Linked DNA regions of Kluyveromyces lactis. The protein of the gene in region 2 interacts with the protein of the main gene of each other region in a biochemical or structural test. Links are inferred from orthologs where the notes say so. Each region holds a gene or a part of one and is shown on either strand. Other genes may lie near its edges. The genes, in order: SUI2, GCD6 and SUI3.

Evidence for each region.
Region 1: the proteins of GCD6 (region 2) and SUI2 form a complex in vitro, tested with the Saccharomyces cerevisiae proteins (2 studies listed by BioGRID). The link is inferred for Kluyveromyces lactis from reciprocal best matches to the Saccharomyces cerevisiae genes GCD6 and SUI2.
Region 3: the proteins of GCD6 (region 2) and SUI3 form a complex in vitro, tested with the Saccharomyces cerevisiae proteins (4 studies listed by BioGRID). The link is inferred for Kluyveromyces lactis from reciprocal best matches to the Saccharomyces cerevisiae genes GCD6 and SUI3.

The regions. Positions count from the first base shown.
Region 1 is NC_006037.1:1,020,586-1,022,968, reverse strand, and holds SUI2 (translation initiation factor eIF2 subunit alpha), read right to left. Parts: upstream 1,444-2,383; coding exon 535-1,443; downstream 1-534. Other genes in the region: KLLA0_A11792g (uncharacterized protein), read right to left, coding at 1,874-2,383. UniProt on the Saccharomyces cerevisiae protein: eIF-2 functions in the early steps of protein synthesis by forming a ternary complex with GTP and initiator tRNA. This complex binds to a 40S ribosomal subunit, followed by mRNA binding to form a 43S pre-initiation complex.
Region 2 is NC_006037.1:383,199-386,966, forward strand, and holds GCD6 (translation initiation factor eIF2B catalytic subunit epsilon), read right to left. Parts: upstream 2,288-3,768; coding exon 77-2,287; downstream 1-76. UniProt on the Saccharomyces cerevisiae protein: Acts as a catalytic component of the translation initiation factor 2B (eIF2B) complex, which catalyzes the exchange of GDP for GTP on eukaryotic initiation factor 2 (eIF2) and is regulated by phosphorylated eIF2.
Region 3 is NC_006040.1:750,872-753,377, forward strand, and holds SUI3 (translation initiation factor eIF2 subunit beta), read left to right. Parts: upstream 1-1,071; coding exon 1,072-1,908; downstream 1,909-2,506. Other genes in the region: YAR1 (Yar1p), read left to right, coding at 1-577; ADD37 (Add37p), read right to left, coding at 2,325-2,506. UniProt on the Saccharomyces cerevisiae protein: Component of the eIF2 complex that functions in the early steps of protein synthesis by forming a ternary complex with GTP and initiator tRNA.

The DNA.
Region 1 (2,383 bases), about 640 kb from region 2:
TGTGAATAAATGCAAATTACGTTGACGTTCGAATTAGTTTATTATACACGTTTAAATGAAATACCCGATGTGCTAATGTTACTACATAGAAGTTTCGTTTCGTTGTACTTTAAAGACTTTTCACTCTTTTTTCAAAATAAGGATTTATGGAGCTTCCCTTTATTATTATAAGAAGAAACTAGAAAAAAGGAAAATGGGAGTTTCCTAATGTAAAAATCCTTTAAAACGTCCAGTCGTAATCGAATGGAAAGGCTGACAGTAATTGGCAGATACCACCTGTTCAAATGCTAGAGTAGTTCTCTGCACAGTCAAGTGGAAACATAGGTTTATTACCTGAACATCTGTTAGAAAATGGCCTTTTGTTTTTGTTTCATCTTCATCAGTAAATATAATGCAATGTTAAGTGAAGTAAGAAATGGAGAGAGGACATGCAAAGACTTATAGGTATCGAAACGCTGTATACACGTATAACAACAGGAAGCAGTAGAAGTATATCTTTTTAATTCCTTTTTTTTTGGTTTCACTTTAAACCATCTATTCGTAATCGGAGTCTTCATCTTCGGAATCTGATCTACCTTCTAATTCCTTGGATTCTAATAGTGCTTGTAATTCAGCATCTTCAGTGGCGGTGACAGCCTTTGGAGCCATTGTGACATTACAGACACCATTGTACTTTAGAATGACTTCTTCGATCTTTGCGATAGCAGTTTCCAATAGTTGAACACCTTGATCTTTGTCCAAAGATTGGGTGGTGATGACGTACAATGGGGCAGCCACCAATTTGACTTTGATTTGCATTTGTTCAGTGGACAACTCTTCAGCAGATTTTAGGGCTTCTTTGATAGCATCAATACCCTCGTAACTGAAACATGAAACCTCGACATCTGCTCTGATCTTGACCGCTTGTGGGGTCAATCTTCTGGTGATTTGGCCCTTCAATTCTTGGAAAATTTCGTCGCTGATAGATTCAATACCATCCCAAACGTTAGGGTCCACAATGGACATCTTGTAGGCATCGTAAGCATGACCGTACTTTCGACTTAAAGGCCATGCATAAGCTTTGTACAAATCTTCCAATGATACTTGGTATTTCTCAGCACATTGTCTCAAGATGGAATGTACGGCCTTGGACTTTTGGTATCTTTCTTCACATTTGATGACATCTTCTGCAGAAACACGACGCTTAGACAAATCAATATAACCCTTCTCCTTATCCACTCTTAATACAACGACAACTTCATTCTTACCAACACGAATCAACTTTTGGATAGATCTAATACGTCTTCTTGACAATTCAGATAACAAAACCATACCTTCAATGTTGTCATATTCCAATAATCTAACGTAAGCACCCATTTCAGCGATTTGTTGGACGTTTACCATCACAACATCATCAACTTCAGGGAACTTGTTCTCGTAAAACCTACAATTGGAAGTGGACATCCTGCTCTGTATATCTAATGGCTCTGATGATAAATTCTTGTGTAATTTTTCAATTGGAAGATATACCACAAACTCAAAGAAAGTATACTCTGTTTGTAATCGTTATCTATCGCAAGATACAGATAAATTAAATTCCTCGGTATCAGAGACTGCTCGCGTAAGTTCGAAGCTTAATTGGAAACCTTTGTATACCGATATTGAAATTGCTTTGTTGCTTCAATATTGTATATGCTTTCCAATGATCAATCTTTTCAATTTTTTGATACTTCGCATCACAGTTTCGAAAAATTTTTAGATCTGCTCGTTAAGAGTGATGTACTACACGTGACCTAACTATTATAATTAAGTTTCATTACTTACTACTAATGGCCCTCAGGTATTAAGCTGCAGAGATACTAACTACCAGTAACCCATACTAGATGCGATCGTGCTAAGAAGCGCCAGAAGATTGATTTTTTAGCCTCGTTTTGATTGTTTTGATGTGTGCGAATCTGCGAGACCATGTAGAACAGTGTTCTGACGATACGGACTCGTGCCAAATTTGTGCGAATGTGTTTGCGACAGTACATAAATGCCTGACATACGCTGCGAGGCGCTGCCTATGCATGATTTTGAAGTGGGATGTAGAGAATATACCAGGAACTTCTTTTGCTCTGTAAATCTTCACCTTATAGAATTCACTCACAGAGTCTTTTTCATCTTTGCCGTTCCACATTGGTTTGATGACAAGGTTTATGAAATTGAATTGACTTTTGATTATGTCAAACGGGAACGAGTCCTGTTTTCGTTCATCGTAATATATGTTGATAAAGTTATTACCAACGTGTCTTTTTTTCATTGTTCGATCTGGATCTGCTTTGTCGTCGTTAGGCATTAGGGATACAGTATGGAACACGATTTGACATTTTTGATCATGCCAGATCAACGCGTACTCTCCATC
Region 2 (3,768 bases):
ATATTGATTGATATTGACCAATCTTGAACTTCGGAGGAACCATGAAAATTCAAAGGGCATTTATGACGTTATTGACTTATTCGTCTTCGTCACTGTCTTCTTCATCAGATGATTCTTCATCTGCAGTCTTTAGCCAGTCCACCCATTTGGCCAGTAGAGCAGTAACTTCGCTGTATTTTGAATCACCGCTTACAGAGTCCCACCATTTGTAAATGACATCTTCCTCTAAGATATCCAAATCATACAAGACATTATATACATGGAATAGAATGAAATCTGGTTTATCGAATTTCTGATCTAGCACACGATCCAGAATGATATTCATTAGATCAATGAACTCATCACTATCAAATGCTTGTCTCTTAAACACAGGACCCCATTGTTGTAAGACTTTAGTGACAGCGTCCTTTGGACCTAGTGTTTGTGTGGCTACAAAGTGGTAAACTCTTCTGAATATAGCGATAACAGAAGCATTCCTGACTTCATGATAAGTGACGTTCATACTCATTCTCAAAGTGTTTAGTTCAAGCATTGATGTGTCTAAATCGTGGTTGTTCTCTATAGCTCTTTCAACTGTTGCGATGGCTTCTTTTTCGAAATCTTCTTCTTCGTCTTCTTCTCCTTCGTAATCAGTATAGATACTAGTCATCGACATGGTTCTCCTCTTTCTATGTTTTTGAGTGATGGATGATATGGAAGTATCCGATAAATAAATGTCATCGTCTCTGTACGTTAATGTGTTCGCAATACCCTTTTCGGTCGATCCATCTTCATCTTCATCCTCATCATCACTTTCGTATAGTACGCCTCTCCCGTTTGGCCCAACCAACTGCTTAGATAGTTTAATCTTCGCATCGGCAACTTCATCGGAATTACTGATTGATAAAGAAGATGAATTTCTGGTGAATGTGCTTCCTTCTTCGTCCTCATCGCTGGAAGAAAGATTATGTGCTGTATCTAAGAATTGAGCTGTGTTCCTCTGTACTGGAACCGCTGAAATCTTGGTTCCAACTGGGATTGTAACATTATCGTCAATCACTACATTGAATCCGATAATGGAACCATCATTCAAGGTGACGTTTGATCCTAATTTAACATCTGAAGCAACTAAAGAGTGCTCAATTGTAGTGTTATCATCAATGACAACATTGTCCCAAATGTAACTGTTTTTGATTCTGATGTTTGAGCCAATTTTACAATTTCTACCAACAACACTATTTTCAATGACTGTACCTTCTCCAATCTTGGATCCTGAGCCGATGGCCGTGTTTTTCTTTATCTTACAGGACTGCGCTAATACCACGTCTTTTTCCTTATAAATGTGTTGGCTTTCGTATGAATAAGTTTGGCCCTTTAAAAGGTTGGCATTAAGAACCAATGGGTAACACCATCTAGCAATAAAATCTTGCGAGATAGCATCATACGTTTGCCAACTTTCTGCTCTAGTGGTGTATTCGTCGGTAATGTACCCGTAGATATGTTTCTTCAACAAATCACTAGAAAGCACACCTCTAACAAAATCTCTTCTCAAGAATTGGTAATCGAAATTCTCTTGGAAAATAGCAGGGACATGAGGAGAACAGATATCTACATGGCAATCAATCAAATCGTTGCGTAACACAAACTCGTCAACACCTTCCAGAAGTTCAGGATCAATATCAATGGTAGTTTTTTCTCTAGAGCTAGCCAATGGGATATCCTGGTAGTAAATACATCTATCATTAGACTTATCAAAAATGAACGTTGCTGGTTCATGAGACCTTGTCTTATGAAACTGAGTCGCTTTACTTAGGCACATAGTGACAATATGATCCTTATCAGCCTTTCTCCTTTGTTTATGAATATCTAAAGCCTTTTCAAAGTCCATATTAGTCACCAAATCACCACTAACAAGTACGAAATCACCGGTAATTAGCCCACGGTTATCGACATCTCTCATTGCATCTCCAACAGATCTGGACTCTAGCGACATGATGGTATTCACCTTAAACGGAGCCCATGGTAAACTCCATTTGGACTGATCGATATATTCCTGGATCTGTTCACCATGCGATGCACAAATCAGATAAACTTCGTTGACTCCGGCCTTAGCTAAGAACTCCAAAGTATATTCAATCAAGGGAATGTTGGCCAACGGCAACAAACATCTTGGTTTCACCGAAGTCAAAGGCATAAACCTAGTCTCAAACGAGTCAGTCAAAACAATCGCTTGTAAACGTTCATCTTGAACAACCTCTTGTTTCTTATTCTGATTGGCTTTACCAGATTTGGTCTTCTTTCCACTCATCTTTCGATTGTAAATTACGGGAAACTCTGGAAACAAAAAAAGCTTAAATGAGTACAAGTATACTATTAATAAACAGGGTACCTTTTTCCCCGTTCTAACCAAAAGACTAAGCGTTTCCAGAGCGATAAAGTTGGATGATTTTCTCTTCTCGATAAACTCATCATCATGTGTAATATGTAATTAATTGATTGTTCAATATTCAAATTTCATGTCATTTCTCACTTTCAATTTGAAAATAAGGAAGAACCAAGACAAGAAAAAAATTTCAGATACAACGCTCTGCGTGAATTTCTGTGTAAAAATCAGAATCATCATAGTAACCCATAAAAAAAAGATAGTTGAAATATGAGAAAAAAATAGATGCCCCTGGTGGGGTTTGAACCCACGACTATCGCGTTGCTTTGAAACGACCTTTTGAAGGGCCAATTTTCATAGAATGTTCCATATTGATTGGAGTCACACTATAAGCACGATGCTCTAAACCACTGAGCTACAGGGGCTTCAATGATGTCTTATTTGCTTTTGTTGATGTTTATATTCTGCGAACCAATAATTTTTTTTACCAAAAGAAGGCATACCTTGAACCATAATGAACACACAATTGGCCCTTCAATAAACCATTAATTGAATTAGCAGAGGTTCTTTGAACTTTTGTTTAGAATATCATTCCTATTTAGAGGTTTATTATAAAATTTACCTAGCAGCAAACATTACATAGAGTATCAATCAAACACCAACATAACAAACATTTACAGCATGTTCCTAGGCAGCTGGAACGTTCTCTCGGAGGAGGTTGCTGTACATACACAGGCTGTTGTTGGGCGTAGTAGCCTTGCTGTGGCTGGTTGTGATTTCTCATAGTATTAATTTTTTTAGTGATAGTTCTTCAGAATAGGGTCTTTCAGTTTCCTATTGGTATTAGAACAGTACGGCTAACACAACAGACCTATTGATTCACTTGAGTGGAGTTGGCAAAGAACTTATACAATTAAAACCCAACATGCTTCAAGTGACATTATATATCAAAAAAAAAATATCAACAATATACAGTCCGAGTAAATGATGGATCGAGTTCTTGCTTATATATATTTTGTATGTGGAGTCGACGTAATTGTTGTACCTTATTTTTAACTGCTTTAAGTGATATTTTTGTTATCACTGCCATTTCCATGAGGCTTCCGCTATTCGACATTTTTTTTTGATTTTTGGGTTTTTTTTTTGCTTTGCTTTTAAACAATAAGCATGAAAGCAGTGCGACAGATATTAAGTTTAGTACGAAACGTAAGTTTAATTATGTAAGTGCACACATTGATTAACACATTCTATCTTAATATGGATAAGTAGAGAAAAGAATTATAGTAACTAAATCAAATAGTGGAAGAATTTCTGGAAGTGTAGGGTCCGTATGGCGTACGTATAAGATTTGGTTTAGGTAAAGATTTGACAGCCCATGAAGTAAATTTGAAATACGTCATTTTTAA
Region 3 (2,506 bases), on a different chromosome or scaffold from region 2:
TATCATCGTTGATGCAAGAGCTGGAGATTTGGAGTCTCTTAAGGATATTTTTACCACTTTGATAGATCCAAGTGCACTCATTGAATGTACAGATGAATTGTCTAAGTCATCTGCCTTGCATATGGCAGCCGCCAACGGTCATTTCGAGGTGGTAAAATATCTACTAAGCATTTTCCCAAAGGATAAACTAAAGGAATGGGTCAACAAGCAAAACGAAACAGGTAACACTGCATTGCACTGGGCTTCGTTGAATGGTAAATTGGATATAGTACAGCTTCTTTGTGAAGAGTATGAGGCTGATCCATTCATCAGGAATAATTTCGACCATGATGCCATCTACGAAGCTGAAAACAACGGACAAGAAGAGATAGAAACATATTACTTGAAGAAGTTCGACGTGGAACCCGAATCGACCGAAAATGAGGAAGAAACTTCATCGGAAAAGGAAGGAGAACAAGCCTCACAGCCCGCATCTATCGACAACGTCCAATTTAGAGAAGGTACAGAGATTGAACAAGTGACCAAAGAAGCTACAGAAGCTCTAAGAGAGCAAACTGAAAAGCTTCAACTAGAATAAGTTTCCTCTGAAAATGAACCGTGGTCAAAAAAAAATCATTCGGCTGGAAAGCTGTATTGTGGCCAATTTGAGCATAAAATATGAACCAAATGTCCATGTACATAACTGTATACTAATCATCAATAAACATAGGTACACCTACCTCATGCGCCCAACAAGCGGAGTTTTATCTAACCAGACTCAAAGGCCAAAGAATAGATAAGTCACGTGTGTTACCCGAACACTGAACGTGCACAATGACAACACTATCGCGTGGCCTGGGAAAATTTTGAAAATAGTGAGTTTTCGGAAAACCAAGAGAATTGAAACGACTGGATCGCAATTGTCATCGCTATTCAATATCCTATTGGATTCTTCAGCTCATATTTGCACAAGGGTAAGACAACTTCTGTGGAAATCTGTTGGCAAGAGTCTAGTTCGTGTAAAGTTCAAGGCCCTTTCCGTTATTACTAAGGAGATTAGCAAGAAGCGAGAAGATACAAAGATACTCAACGATGACTGATGTTGCGGCCGACTTAGGATTCGATCCAACGATGAAGAAGAAGAAGAGCAAGAAGGTAGTTCCGGAAGAACTGATTGCTGCTTCCACCGAGGGAACAGATGATCTTTTTGCTGGTTTGAAGAAGAAGAAGAAGAAGAGCAAGGAAGGTGAAGAAACCACTGAGAAGCAAGTGGACGACATTTCAGATGCTCTAGGCGAATTGAAGTTGAAGAAAAAGAAGAAGAAGGCTGCTGCTGCCGAGAGCAGTGTGGATGACTTTGAGAAGCAATTAGAACAAGCAGGTATTTCAGTCGATGATATTGCCAAGGAGGCCACTCCAACTGAAATCGATTCTAGCATTCAACAAGATGTTGGCCTACCATACCAAGACCTATTGTCTCGTTTCTTTAAGATTTTGAACACAAATAATCCTGAATTGGCCGGTGATAGATCAGGTCCAAAGTTCAAGATCCCTCCACCAATCTGTCAAAGAGATGGTAAGAAGACTATATTTGCGAACATCCAAGAAATTAGTGAAAAATTACAAAGATCCCCAGAACATGTAATCCAGTATCTATTTGCGGAATTGGGTACCTCAGGTTCTGTTGACGGTCAAAAGAGATTGGTCATCAAGGGTAAGTTCTTGCCAAAGCAAATGGAAAATCTATTAAGAAGGTATATTCTGGAATATGTCACCTGTAAGACTTGTAAGAGTATCAATACCGTATTGAAGAAGGAACAATCGAACAGATTGTTCTTCTTGGTTTGTAAGAGTTGCGGTTCTACTAGATCCGTTTCCTCCATCAAGACCGGTTTCCAAGCCACCGTCGGTAAGAGAAAGAGAATGTAGATTAATTGATATGACGTATCAAAATAGTAGTATCATTAACATCTACCGAAAAATCAGAAAAAACTTCGACAATCTTCTAATGTTCAATACGATACAGTTCGAAAGGAATCAAATAAACCTCATAAGGCATAGCTAATATATTCATGGTTGAATATTTTCTCCAGGGAGCATCGCATCGTGCAATTCACACATAACATATGAATAACACCAAATACTTGAAAAGAAATGAGAATAGAAGGTATCTTCATCCTTCTTTCACGTTCATTATTAATTTTTTTTCTGTTTGTGTATGTTATCTAATGGTTTTTATCTAATCTGTAATTTAGTTGTTATAAACAAAACGACGAGATCAATGCTCTAAAAGATCAATTTAAATTTAAGCTCTATAATCTGAAACCCTTCCCCCAGTTAAAATATCATATCTGTGCATTTTCGATCAATTTACGGAAAGAAGGACACCACGAATTCACCGACATATCCGACAGCATCCATTTTGTAATTAAATCTGTAACCCGTTTTGAATCGTTCAAGTTGGCGAATATTTCACTCAACGCATATCTTGTGCCCTCGTTTTCCAATACATTTTCTAGAACCTTAT